Linked DNA regions of Saccharomyces cerevisiae S288C. Changing the gene in region 1 together with any one later gene gives a genetic interaction. Each region holds a gene or a part of one and is shown on either strand. Other genes may lie near its edges.

What was found.
Region 2: mutations in TPM2 (region 1) and TGL5 together harm fitness more than expected from each alone (negative genetic interaction), as found in Saccharomyces cerevisiae (2 studies listed by BioGRID).
Region 3: of TPM2 (region 1) and SRO9, extra expression of one rescues a mutant of the other (dosage rescue), as found in Saccharomyces cerevisiae (one study listed by BioGRID).

What each region holds. Positions count from the first base shown.
Region 1 is NC_001141.2:87,666-92,157, forward strand, and holds TPM2 (tropomyosin TPM2), read right to left. Parts: upstream 2,051-4,492; coding exon 1,565-2,050; downstream 1-1,564. Other genes in the region: AXL2 (Axl2p), read left to right, coding at 1-172; REV7 (Rev7p), read right to left, coding at 314-1,051; TMA108 (Tma108p), read right to left, coding at 2,283-4,492. UniProt on the Saccharomyces cerevisiae protein: Involved in cell morphogenesis. Binds to F-actin and stabilizes the actin filaments.
Region 2 is NC_001147.6:476,439-481,797, forward strand, and holds TGL5 (triacylglycerol lipase), read right to left. Parts: upstream 2,751-5,359; coding exon 501-2,750; downstream 1-500. Other genes in the region: DNA-binding SCF ubiquitin ligase subunit DIA2, read left to right, coding at 1-354; transcriptional repressor WHI5, read left to right, coding at 3,095-3,982; LPX1 (triglyceride lipase), read left to right, coding at 4,149-5,312. UniProt on the Saccharomyces cerevisiae protein: Lipid particle-localized triacylglycerol (TAG) lipase. The lipid droplet/particle is a lipid storage compartment which serves as a depot of energy and building blocks for membrane lipid biosynthesis.
Region 3 is NC_001135.5:56,874-61,139, forward strand, and holds SRO9 (Sro9p), read right to left. Parts: upstream 1,806-4,266; coding exon 501-1,805; downstream 1-500. Other genes in the region: GFD2 (Gfd2p), read left to right, coding at 2,153-3,853; dithiol glutaredoxin GRX1, read right to left, coding at 3,968-4,266. UniProt on the Saccharomyces cerevisiae protein: May overlap in function with tropomyosin and may be involved in organization of actin filaments. Acts as a multicopy suppressor of RHO3 mutation. RNA-binding protein which may modulate mRNA translation.

The DNA.
Region 1 (4,492 bases):
ATCTTCTGACGATTTTGTTCCGGTTAAAGATGGTGAAAATTTTTGCTGGGTCCATAGCATGGAACCAGACAGAAGACCAAGTAAGAAAAGGTTAGTAGATTTTTCAAATAAGAGTAATGTCAATGTTGGTCAAGTTAAGGACATTCACGGACGCATCCCAGAAATGCTGTGATTATACGCAACGATATTTTGCTTAATTTTATTTTCCTGTTTTATTTTTTATTAGTGGTTTACAGATACCCTATATTTTATTTAGTTTTTATACTTAGAGACATTTAATTTTAATTCCATTCTTCAAATTTCATTTTTGCACTTAAAACAAAGATCCAAAAATGCTCTCGCCCTCTTCATATTGAGAATACACTCCATTCAAAATTTTGTCGTCACCGCTGATTAATTTTTCACTAAACTGATGAATAATCAAAGGCCCCACGTCAGAACCGACTAAAGAAGTGAGTTTTATTTTAGGAGGTTGAAAACCATTATTGTCTGGTAAATTTTCATCTTCTTGACATTTAACCCAGTTTGAATCCCTTTCAATTTCTGCTTTTTCCTCCAAACTATCGACCCTCCTGTTTCTGTCCAACTTATGTCCTAGTTCCAATTCGATCGCATTAATAACTGCTTCAAATGTTATTGTGTCATCGTTGACTTTAGGTAATTTCTCCAAATGCATAATCAAACTATTTAAGGAAGATCGGAATTCGTCGAACACTTCAGTTTCCGTAATGATCTGATCGTCTTTATCCACATGTTGTAATTCACTAAAATCTAAAACGTATTTTTCAATGCATAAATCGTTCTTTTTATTAATAATGCAGATGGAAAATCTGTAAACGTGCGTTAATTTAGAAAGAACATCCAGTATAAGTTCTTCTATATAGTCAATTAAAGCAGGATGCCTATTAATGGGAACGAACTGCGGCAAGTTGAATGACTGGTAAGTAGTGTAGTCGAATGACTGAGGTGGGTATACATTTCTATAAAATAAAATCAAATTAATGTAGCATTTTAAGTATACCCTCAGCCACTTCTCTACCCATCTATTCATAAAGCTGACGCAACGATTACTATTTTTTTTTTCTTCTTGGATCTCAGTCGTCGCAAAAACGTATACCTTCTTTTTCCGACCTTTTTTTTAGCTTTCTGGAAAAGTTTATATTAGTTAAACAGGGTCTAGTCTTAGTGTGAAAGCTAGTGGTTTCGATTGACTGATATTAAGAAAGTGGAAATTAAATTAGTAGTGTAGACGTATATGCATATGTATTTCTCGCCTGTTTATGTTTCTACGTACTTTTGATTTATAGCAAGGGGAAAAGAAATACATACTATTTTTTGGTAAAGGTGAAAGCATAATGTAAAAGCTAGAATAAAATGGACGAAATAAAGAGAGGCTTAGTTCATCTTTTTTCCAAAAAGCACCCAATGATAATAACTAAAATGAAAAGGATTTGCCATCTGTCAGCAACATCAGTTGTGTGAGCAATAATAAAATCATCACCTCCGTTGCCTTTAGCGCGTTTGTCGTTTGTATCTTCCGTAATTTTAGTCTTATCAATGGGAATCATAAATTTTCCAATGAATTAGCAATTTCGTCCAATTCTTTTTGAGCTTCTTCATATTTGCTTTGGAATTCTTCGCACTTCTTTTCCCATTCATCTCTTTCTTCTTCCAAAGCAACGATCCTTCTACCCATTTGCTCAGAGTTCAAATCGGCCTCTTTCAGTTTATCCATTGCTTCCTTCAGTTTGGCTTCACTGTCTTCTAGCTGTTGTTCTAGATCCTGGTTTTTCTTGGTGTAGTTCTCATTATTAGATCTCAAGTTATTGGAGTCTTCAGCCAATTGCTTTGTATCAGACAATTGACTCTCTAACTTCTCCACTTCACTGTCGAGTTGCTCGTTTTTAGCGGACAAAGATTTAATCTCGTTTTCTTTTTCAGTGTTAGATTGCTCTAATTCTTTGAGCTGTTCTCTCAGCTCCTCATATTTTTCTTGCCATGACTCAGATTCTAATTTTAAGCTATTCAATTTCTCTTTGATCTTCTCCATTTTGCTAATTGCTATTTTAGATGCTTTCTCAACCTCATGAGAAAAAAATTACTAGATTAATATTCCTTATGTTTACATTCTTTTATACCAACCTATTATTGTTGAATCTACAGGTTTTTCGTAGTATATGACAATAATAACTCGAATTCTGCTAAGAGAACATCGTTTATAGTACTATTTTAGAAGACTACTAAATCTACGTACGATAGTGTGTTGAAATACTTGTAAAAAATCAGACCAAGGAGGCCAAGTCTCTTCTTATAGTCTTTCTGGACTCTTCATCTTGCTGGACAGAGGCCCAGATGTCGTCCAAAGATAACAAGCTTTGACCCAACTTCTCTTTCTCCAAATTAATAAACTTTTCTATCTTCTGTGGCTCGTCTGCTACAAACATTTGAAAGATTATCAGGGAAATACTCCTTAACGCCTTGTGTAGATGATCCCCCGTGGTGGTACCTTTCCTTGTAGCCTTCCGTGCCCATTGGTCAAAATTGCCCATATACCACTCCCAGATCGTTTCACGAACGACTTGGTCTTGAGGTTTCTCGTTTTTGTTCAGCCTCTTCTTAAAGTTGTAATTAAATCCGAATAATGCCAGTTCCATCCCCTCTGACTCAATATTGGAAGTGATAAAATTCAAAGTTTTTTTCACGATATCAGAATCTAAACAGAATCCAAGAGATTCTATTGCACCGTTTTGAATCAACATGGCGGTTTCGCTACTGTTTTGGTCATACATATTAATGACATGGTTTGTGATACCAGTACAGGAACTGCGTTTCACCAAATCGAATATTTTCTTCCACTGCTTGATGTTTGCACAATGTTGCGATACGACGACAAGGATTGAGTTCACTAATTCTAACGGTACGCTCGAACGTGGGCCCTGTAATAGATGTTTAAAATAAATTTGACACAATTCAGCACATTTTGCGGAGTTTTTATTTAAAAACAAGACTTGAGACATGACTTTCAACTCGTGAGGGTTTGTGCTTTTATCAAATTCACCGTGGGGCCAATCAATCTTATTGAAAAGGGGAATGACAATTTTTTTCTTTAAGAAAGATTGTAATTTAGAGCTCGTTAAACTGGCACGATCGATCGTTTGCAGAACTTCCAACCCCTTGGAAAGAGGATCCCAATATTTTGATGCAATCTTTGTGGAAGGAGAAGCGATATGGTTTAGTATCTTAAAGAGACCGTGCAAATGAATAGAATTCTGGAAACCCTCATCTCCAATAAACTGCGACAAGTCTAAGAAAATCTTCCGAAGGTCAATCTCGGATAACGTCTCCTCAGTTATTTTATCATTAATCAATGCATAGCACTCTTCGGACTCATATGAAACGCGGTAATAACCTTGGGCTAAATGGTTAATTACTAAGATAGGATAATCGAACTTTAAGGTCCTATCCGTCAATAGTACATTTTTAGTATCCATTTTACCATCTGGCAGAACCCCGAATAAGGGTACCTGATATGGGACATCTTCTAACTGATCCTTTTCTTCAGTAGATAATTGATTGATAAATCTGTGTTGAGTCAATTTTGTTTGCGTTTTCCCGTCTTTCTCTTCTACTTCGACCTTAACGACAGGTAAGCCTGGCGTTCTTGTCCAAGATGAAACAAAGTTTGTAATATTTTGAGACTTCAAAAATTTTCCGATATGATTCCATATATCCATTGGTTTGACGCTTCTCGCATGAAATGTTTTAGTATCTTCAAATACACTTTCCAGGCCCTTTTGTAGATGAGATTCGCCTGTAGCCAATTGCAGGGACCTCAGCATGATAATACCCTTTGTGTATGCCTCAGGATCAAAAATATCGGAGGTTTGAGAATCTATGCCAGTGTTCCGTTGCGCAATCTGAAATATGCTTCTTCCATTAACGTCAGCTGCATCTCTGCACATGGTCGGCTCCACTTGCTGTAGTAAATAAGGTTCCGAGGTCCAATAATGGGATAGGTCACCATTCTGTTCTAGTATGTGGCAAGCTAACCAAGTAGCGAAAGACTCATTAAACCAAAGAGATTCCCACGAGTCAAAAGATATGTAGTTGCCCATCCATTGATGAACGAGTTCGTGGACAATGAGTTGCTGTGCTTGCTCTCTGACGGTTTCATTGGCCAAGGCATTTGGTGGTATGAGCAGGTGGTTTAGTTGGATGGTGATCATACCAAAGTTCTCCATTGCCATGTCACTTAAATATGGTAGTAGGACGAAATCTAACTTTGGCAGAGGGTATGGACATTTAAAATAGGATTCCAACAAAGGTAGATATTTCTGGACTGTATCTAAAGTGAAAGCTGCATTAGCAATATCCCAAGGTGCATAAATTGAAACGGGAATAGTCCTATCACCTTCCAACTTGATTTCCGTTTTCAAAAATTCTAAATCACCAATAGAAAAACCAAATACGGAAGTAGTCATCAAAGGTGTCT
Region 2 (5,359 bases), on another chromosome or scaffold:
CTCTCCAAGTTGGAAGAAATAAATTTATCGCATCTCAGCTCCTTGAATGATAGTACGATGAAGTCATTCATTATTAATGTACCATTTTTGGAAAATTTAAAGAGGCTTGACATTTCGCACAATTTTGAAATTACAGGAATATCAATATATGAATTTCTAAAAAAATTTCAGATGGATCATGACAACGAAGCGGGAGGTCAACCACTGGCATATTTAAATATTGACGGATGTTCCCAAGTGTCTCATATCACAGTTAATATGATCCGAGCGCAGAACTTAGTTACTCAAGTGGATTGTGTTTATGAAAGAGATGTATGGAGAAAATTTGGAATTAATTCATATTCATACTCATAGATTAATAAATCACTGATGATAATGCAGTATCCTTCGGAAAATTCTTAGAATATTTAATATAACAAAATGGCATGTACCTTTTGGAGTTGATGGAGGTGAGAATATAGAAAGCTTTTTATATAAAAATGTACTTATTGTCTTTCATTTCAATTTTGAAAAATGTCTGAATTGTTCATGAAATTGTCGTTTGTGGCAGCCGACATAGCGTCCATGGGGAACCTGCTTGGATTGAATAAAGTGTTATCAAATGAACCGTTTTCAATAGCCGGTATGGGAAAATCTTCTGAGTTTGTTTGAACATCATAAGAGGAAATTGTTCCAGATTTTTTTCTATTTTTCCTCATCTCTGCCGACATATTTTGATTATAATAAGAAGATCTTTTTTTGAATTGAGGTCGTGATGGAACCTTCAATGGTGATTTCTTTAGCCGTAAACTAGATGCACCGATGGCAAACGATAAAGAATTTGCCTTCTGCCTTGTACCCTGCTGCGTGAATGAAGATTTTGAACGTTGTGGAGATGTAGAAGGCGATGGAGAAGGCGATAACATATCCATTTTCCTCTTGTTGAAGGTAGAAGATGGAGAAGGCAATGGCTGAAGAGGAAATCTTCCCGGTGCCGCTGTTTTGTTGGGAGACTTGATAATTGATAGTGAATTGGAGGAGGATTCTTCCAAGTCAACTCCCGGCAAGTCAGCATCCATTATGGAAAGAGATTTGATTTGCTCACTGAATCGAGGTTGGTAGAATTGTAAAGGGTTTTTTATTGACGAAGAGATTATTATTTTCTCCTTTAGGAATGTGATGGCCTTATCCAAGGCGAATTCTTGGCCACAGTTATTTTGAATCATGGAAATTTTCGGCCAAGTAGCTCTTGCACCTAAAGTAGTTTGGTGCAATAGGAAAAGTTGAGATGGGTTCTTCAATACTTCGTGGAATTGACCAACCATTGATAGATCGGGTAAAATTGTGACATTGCCAGAGTATTGTTGTAAAAAAAGGTGTTTCAATTTGGTCATCAAATAGGGATGGAACTCAAGCTCCTTTAGGATGTCTAAAAAATGAATAGTTTCGTCGGAAAAAAATTTGAAGATCTTTGTTACTTGGTTTCTGAAACGGGCGGTAATTTCCTTTTCAATTTCACCCCCAACGCAAGTGTTTGAAAACTTTAACAGGGGAAAGACATGTATATTTACCTGGCAGGCGATAATGTGGTCGACATTGAACATTTCAGAAAGACGAGAAATGGGCATGTCATTATCTACAGATCCGTCCATGAATTTCATGTTTGATAAATGTAAATTTGTTGCCCCCCACTCTTTAATCTTTCCAGTGTGAGGATCTTTCTCGAATAGCGGCGTGGAGGGGAAAACTCCAGGTAGAGAACAAGATGCGCATACGGCAGACCAGATGAGAACGTTTGGAGCGGTTAAATTGTTTAGTAGTTTCGGCTGTTCGTATATGGAAGCAGGCGAGACTGTGATATTCAGGATTTTTCCAGTCTTGTTGTAGGCTTCCCTAAAGGTCAAGTTTCCTAAAAACGAAAGCATTGTGTTAATCAAAGGTTGATTATTGAACCAGGTACCGTTTTGGCAGAACCTCGATATCTTGATTAGTAAGTTTTCGTTGGGAGATTTGGAATTGTCGTCATTGAAGATGTTAAACTCCATATTAAGTACATTGGTCAACAAGGAGGGAATTTCCTGGGTCGTGTGGACGCAAAATATGCTGGCAACAATGGCGCCAGCACTGCTACCGCTGATCACCTTAGGCATCAGGTCCGATTCAAAAAGGGCGGCAAGAACACCAATGTGGAAAAGGCCGAAAGTGCTCCCACCGCTAAGCACGAGAGCCGTGCGCCCTATGTTTCTTCTCGTCTGTTGCAAAATACCGAGGAGATAGTGATCGTTCATATTTGACTGATGGATCAGCGCGGTGAGCACTGCTTGAGACTCTTCTAGGTAGTCATGTATAATTTGTTTTGTGCCGGTATGCGAGTGCCTGTAAAGATTAACGTTATTCATGTTGCCAAGATTACGGACCCACTTAGTTCTAATCAGATAAAGCAGGCGGTGGTAGTCGTGAGTGGTTCTCAAATGGCGCATACGGATGGTCAAGTCTTGCAGCAGCTTATAGTTATACAACGAGGACTCGTCGATTGTTTTCCATTCGGAAAGTCCCGTTAAGTCGTCTAATCGCGACGCTATGTCATTCCATTGATCGTAGGAGATGGCGTGTTTTTTCTGGGAAGACAAATCGGATATGAGCAGCTGTTTACGGGAGAGAGTCTTGTGGTATAACCATTTGAAGAGCGATGATGAGTCTGTGGCAGGAGTGTTGGAAAGTTCGTAGTATTTGGATAAAAGAAATTCTGTTACTGGCAAGGTATTAGACATAGCAACGAAACAGAACCGTCTTCCTTGTGCTGTTTATGATGTCTTTTGTCTCCTATTGTTTTCGAATTTTATTTTTTTTTTTTTTTATTTTTTTATTTTTTTTTGTTTTATATAATTCCTCGCGCTGCCTTAATGATAATTCTTGATTTACTAATTGTTTCATGACTTCTGGTGCTAAAGGGAAGGGGGAAAAGGGAAGCGAAAACTTCAAGAGCAGAACGAAAAAAATAAAAAAAACAAAACAAAACAAAACAAAACAAAGGCAAAACAAGGCAAAGAACCTGATGGAAGAAAGCACAACCAGATATTAATAGCAACGAAAAATAGTAGAGACATTGAAGAATATGAGTTTGAGAACGCCGAAGAGAAGCAGGACTAGCGATGAACAAGAACAAGAACAAGAACAAGAGCAGGTACAGAACCCAGATACACATGTAAACAACGAGCATCAGCAGCGACCTGGGCCAACCACTCTATTGAGCACGCCAGTACGTCTCAAAAATGGCTTTGGAACACCATCGCCGCCGTCACCACCAGGCATAACGAAAAGCATCACTAAATCGAGAAGAAGGCCGTCGACAACGAGTCTTCAGGGTATATTCATGTCGCCCGTCAATAAGCGTCGTGTCGGCATAACCGCACATGGACGTGTATATGACCATAACGACGACGGACACGAAAGTGAGAGTGAGGACGACGAAAATGAAGAAGAAAATGAAAATCAAAAGAAGTACGACGGACACGTTAGTATGCCTTTGTTGCCACCGACAACGCCCAAGTCAAGACGGTCGGAGGTGTTTCTGTCGCCGTCGCCGCGTTTGAGGTCACCTCCGACGGCTGCGCGTCGGTCTACGGGCGAGCGGCCCATCCGCGAAATATCACATACTTTGCGCACCAGGCTCAATTACGCGTTAGTCAAGCTGCAAAATGGATGGACGGACAAGACACTTCCCGAGCTGGAGACGGAGCTTGCTCCAGCAGTGCAGACGCCGCCACGTCGCTATCACAACAGATTTCCAGATAGTGCAGACGCGGGTACTTCCGCGCATACAGCGTTTCTTCAGGCGCTCGGAGGCCACCCACCACGGGAGGAGGCCACGGCTGTCGAAACACTGATGCTATTGTCGTCGCCTACCAAGAAGCAACAACACCGACCCGTGCCGGCGACATCTGCTGGAGAACCCACGGACGAAACGGAGCCCGAGTCGGATACCGAAGTGGAGACGTCTTAATGTGGTAGTACGAGTTTTTTCTCCGCAATCTCGGAGTTAGTGCAGCCGCGCCCGCTGCTGCACCCTTTAGCATATATATAAAGTGCGTAATGTGCGTGCTAAAAAAGCTCACTAGTGCGTACTCTGCTTATCTCTGCGTATCCGCCGATCAACATCCGCGGCTAAAATGGAACAGAACAGGTTCAAGAAAGAAACGAAAACTTGTAGCGCTAGCTGGCCGCGCGCACCGCAGTCGACGCTGTGTGCGACAGATCGCCTCGAGCTCACATACGATGTGTACACTAGCGCAGAGCGGCAACGCCGCTCTCGCACTGCCACTAGGCTTAACCTTGTGTTTTTGCACGGCAGCGGCATGAGTAAGGTGGTATGGGAGTACTATTTGCCGCGTCTGGTAGCCGCCGATGCGGAGGGCAATTATGCCATCGACAAGGTTTTGTTGATCGACCAGGTTAACCACGGTGATTCTGCGGTACGCAACCGCGGCAGACTCGGCACCAATTTCAACTGGATCGACGGGGCCCGCGACGTGCTCAAGATTGCCACATGCGAGTTGGGCAGTATTGACAGCCACCCGGCACTAAACGTAGTCATCGGCCACTCGATGGGCGGGTTCCAGGCTCTTGCGTGTGACGTCCTGCAGCCCAATCTGTTTCATTTGCTCATCTTGATCGAGCCTGTAGTAATCACACGGAAAGCCATCGGCGCCGGGAGGCCAGGGCTTCCGCCCGATTCTCCGCAGATCCCAGAAAATCTTTATAACTCCCTACGTTTAAAGACGTGCGACCATTTCGCTAACGAGTCCGAATATGTAAAATATATGAGGAACGGTTCCTTTTTTACCAATGCGCACAGCCAAATCCTGCAAAACATCATCGATTTTGAGAGGACAAAAGCCTCTGGAGACGATGAAGATGGTGGACCCGTTCGCACGAAGATGGAGCAGGCTCAAAATCTCCTCTGCTACATGAACATGCAGACTTTTGCGCCTTTCCTGATCAGCAATGTGAAGTTTGTGAGGAAGCGGACTATCCACATTGTGGGCGCGCGCTCCAACTGGTGTCCTCCGCAAAATCAGCTGTTTTTGCAGAAAACTCTACAGAACTACCATCTCGATGTCATTCCCGGCGGCTCCCACTTGGTCAACGTTGAGGCTCCGGACCTGGTGATCGAGAGGATTAATCACCACATCCACGAGTTTGTCCTTACCTCCCCGCTGCAGTCCTCACACATTCCGCAATTGACCCTTGAAGAAAGAGCGGTGATGTTTGACCGGGCTTTCGACTCGTTCAAGAATGAAGCTTTGGTTAAAACGACTAAACAAAAACTGTAAACACTTGTGTACACTATTACATATATTATTCAATAATAATTAACTGA
Region 3 (4,266 bases), on another chromosome or scaffold:
CTTAGAGTAAAATAGGCATTTTTCATATCTTCTTCCCAATTATTAAATTAGCAAAAAATTGAATAAAAAAAGCAGGTGGTTTAAGAATTGCGCAGGGAGAAGAAAGAATATCATATCTCATGATGGTAGCCACTTAGACAGAGAGAAAACGAAGTGAGAAGAGGCTAGTATTTTTATATCTTAAAAAAAAAAAAAAACAAAAAAAAAAAAACATAAATATTTGTATCTTATTGCTTATGATGATAATGTACAATGAATTCAAAACATGAAAATTGTTCAAAGTTTTTATTTTTATTTTCTCTTTCGTATTAAACTGATGGAACAAATGAAAAAAATGGATAAAAAAACAAAAAAAAAAAAAAAAACAAAAAAAAAACAGCTTTGCTGGAGGATGATTAACTTTTAATTTTTTTAATTATTAGGTTTTTCAATTTTTTATGGTTTTTTGTGTAAAATGCAATGAACGAATCCATTTTTTATTTTGCAAGTGTGAGAGGCCTTTATAAGGAAGACTCGGATTCACCGGCAGCAACCGGCGCAGAGTCTTCTTTGGTTTCTTGTTCTTGAGAAGCGAGTTCAGTGGATGATTCCTCTTCTTGTTGAGGAACAGGTGGTAGGGATATCATGAATTGGTCCAATGCATCGCCGACCAGTTCTTTTTCAATATTAATTTCAGTTTCAAAAGTTTCTGGTAACCAGTTTGACCAGCTCTTGGAACGAACGAAGTACTTATCCAATGGAGATGGTTCTTTGGCTTCACCGGTAACGTTATCACCTTCCTTGGCGGCCAAAGTACCTTCTGCAACATTGACGGTAGCGGCTTCGTTAGCGACAATTTCTCTCAATGCGGCTAAAATCAGGTTAGTGTCACCTCCGAAGGACATGTTAACAACTCTGTAAAACTTAGAGATTAAAGACAATGGAGCAAAACCATCCTTGGAGAGTTTGGACCTTAAGTAATTGTCGACGGTCAAGTTTTCTTCGCTGAAATAGTATTCAATTTGTCTAGCAATGTTGTTGATGGCCATTAACACTGGTTGGACTGGATAAAACTGTTGCTGTAATTTGACCATAGGTTGTTGAGGATGTTGTTGGTTGTGATGGAAGTGGTTGTGGTATTTAGAGCGGTTGTTGTTGTTATTACGAGCGTTGCGTCCTTGGTAAGGTTTAAACTGTGGTGGGAAGCCTTGGTTCTGAGGCATACCGGCGTTATTACTGTTGTGGAACTTTCTCCTTTGAGGACCATTGCTGTTATGGTGATGACTGTGGTGATGATTACGGTGGTGAGGTGGTTGTTGCTGTTGTGTAGATTGACCATTTTCTTGAGAGGTAGCGTCTTTTGAATCTTCCTCACCTACTGCCGATTCAAAGCCATCTTTCTTCATTTGTTGTTGCTTCTTAGCATTATGTTGGTGATGCTTCTTTTTCCTGTTAGCATTACTCGACGATGTCGACGATGCTGCAGTTTTGTTGTTTTTGCTCTTGTTGCTGTTGCCATTACTTGCACCATTCTTGGAACCGGATCTTTTGGTGCCAGAGACGGTAATGGAGGCCTTGATGGGAACCCACTTGGTAGCAGTCGATGATTTCGGAGTGGGTGTTCTGTTCTTCTTCTTTCTTGTGGCATCCAAGTCTTCTATTGAGATAGTAGAAACAGGGATCTCAGTAGGAGCAAGTTTCCATGGGGAAGATGTGGGCAATGGTGCCGGCGTCAAGTTGACTTGCTTGCTCTTGGAGCTCTCTTGTTCTTGCACTTCTGGGACTGGGGCAGTAGCAGTGTTTGCGGCGGCGGTTTCAGCAGACATCGTGGGCAGAGAAGTGAAAAGAAGATGAAACACGTTAGCAGGTCCAGAGTAATCCTGATGTTCTATTACCGATCTAGGATCCCAAAAGATCTTCATAAAACCGAAAAAGATGTTAAGAAATGTTTACACTTGTACTTTTCTTTCTTTGTTCTTGACCTACCAGAAGTGAAAAAAATTTTTCATTGCGTGGGTACATCCGTGCACCATTTCTGAAAAATTTGCGATGAGCATCCCTCAAAATCCGTATTATCCGCTAGTGTTTTGAGGTTCAACAAGACAACATATAAGAAGGGAAGAAGGAAAGGAGGCAATGAGAACTTGGGTCTTGCTCGAGAGTCCAGATCCACATGCAGGTTCAAAAAATGGTGAGAGATAACAGTAATAACGGTAGCGATAAAAGCGTCCATTGGGAGAGGAGGAATAATAACGGCGCAGGCCCCCGTTATCGTTCCAGAAGCGGTAATACCGGTGCTTTGGCAACAAAACTAAGTAATGGGACGCTCTCTGTCAGAGGATTAGTGAAGGACCGAACAGGAAGCGGCAAGATCGCGGGCTGTGTGGAGGCGTTTCTGGATGCCAGGACCCAATTGAATACGCCCTGGGACCGTGCTAAGTGCAATTGGCTGGACCAGATAGATTACTATGTACAGTTGAGAAAGACCGCGTTTTCTAAGGAATTGGACCAACTAAGGAAGCCCATGATCGATGCATATGTGGCGGAGATGAGGCAGAAGTTTGATGCCTCCTATGGACAATCCAGGGCGCAATTGGAAGCCAAACTGGCGCAGGTGGACAGTGAATGGCATATGGTACATGGTGATGTGCATGCAAAACTGGAAAAACTCGTGGAAGAACGCCGGTTTTTGAAAAGATTAAGCGACACGATCGTACCACCCAGGTCCAAAAGATCACAGCGGCTGTCTCCATTGACCAAAGAGGACCGAGCCAACTGTATCTGTCCGCAGCCCAAAGGAATGAGCGACACCGCTTGGTTCGAAGCCATTCAGAAGAAAATGTTAGGAATGAATGGTACCATCAAGCTCCTAGAGACAGAACAGAAACTACTGGCTGACGAGAAAAACAGCGTGAGGAAGACGTTCTGGCCCATGGTGGAAGCACATTCACGCTCGAATGAATTTGCTTATCTGGAGAAATGCATCAGGCTGATGGCCTCTCAGAGAGCAATATGCTTTTGTCTTGATATAGAGGCTTTCGAAACAAACCAGAACGTAATCACCGAAATTGGGATTTCAATTTATGACCCCAGGGAAAATATGGTGCCGTCAATGGTTCCAATTACAAAGAATTACCACCTAATTATCGAGGAGTCCCTGGAACTTAGAAACCAAAAATGGGTCTGTGACTACAAGGATTGCTACTTATTGGGAGAAAGCTATGTTTTGAGCTTGAAAGAGTGCGTGCATTTCATTCAATCACTAATAAACTATTACTTGGTCCCGGTGACCGAAGAAGACAAGACATGGTCAAGGGCATTTGTTGGTCATCACGTGAGCGGGGATCTTAAGTGGCTGGAGACTATTGGTGTCAAATTCCCTGGCAGAGGGTATGAAGGCCATCTGGACCATACGCTGCTTTTGGCTGAAACTCCCGGTGATCTAGACGTGTTCATCTTGGACACTGAGCAGTTTTACAGGAAATCGTATGGCGAAAAGGGCAGCAGTCTGGGCAAGATTCTGCGGTTGTTCGAGATACCGCATGCGTTTCTACACAATGCCGGTAACGATGCCTACTATACCCTGCATTTGTTCATGAAGTTTTGCGATGTTAATTTCAGGAAAATAAGCGGCATGGACGATGTTCTTAAAGTAATGGGCCAAGTAAAAGTTTGGGGAGAACGAGACGTACGAGAGCCTAAAGTGGTGCCCATGTCGTATGCCATCTCCATCGAGGAGGCAGTCAAAAATCGGACGTACCGCAAGGGCGTCAAGAGCAGTAGGAAGGAAAGAGTCTGCCAAACGGAATTCGGTGGGTTAACGTATTTCGGAACTGCTAAAGACGCCTTCACAAGCACTCTTCCGACACACTAAATATATTCATCGATTTTTTTCCTGTAAATACAAACACATGCTTGTATACATATACATATACATATATATAAGCTCATTATAAACCTGTGTGCATGGAAAAAACTTTGTCTGCCCTTAATTTGCAAGAATAGGTTCTAACAATTCCTCCAATTCACCAGTCTCCCTCAATTCCTGCAAGTCGTCGTTGCCTCCAATATGTTTACCATTAATATAGATGTTTGGCACGGTTCTTTGGCCATTAATCTCATATAACGCAGCCTGAATGTCTGCGCCTTCCTTCATGTCATTCAATTGCAAAACCAGAACTTTGGACCTGGGAACCTTTAACTTTTCAAAAAGCGTGTTTAGGGCTGCATGGCAGTATGGACAGTACGTTTTGGATGCGACGAAGATCTCGTTTTCTGCAATAAGGT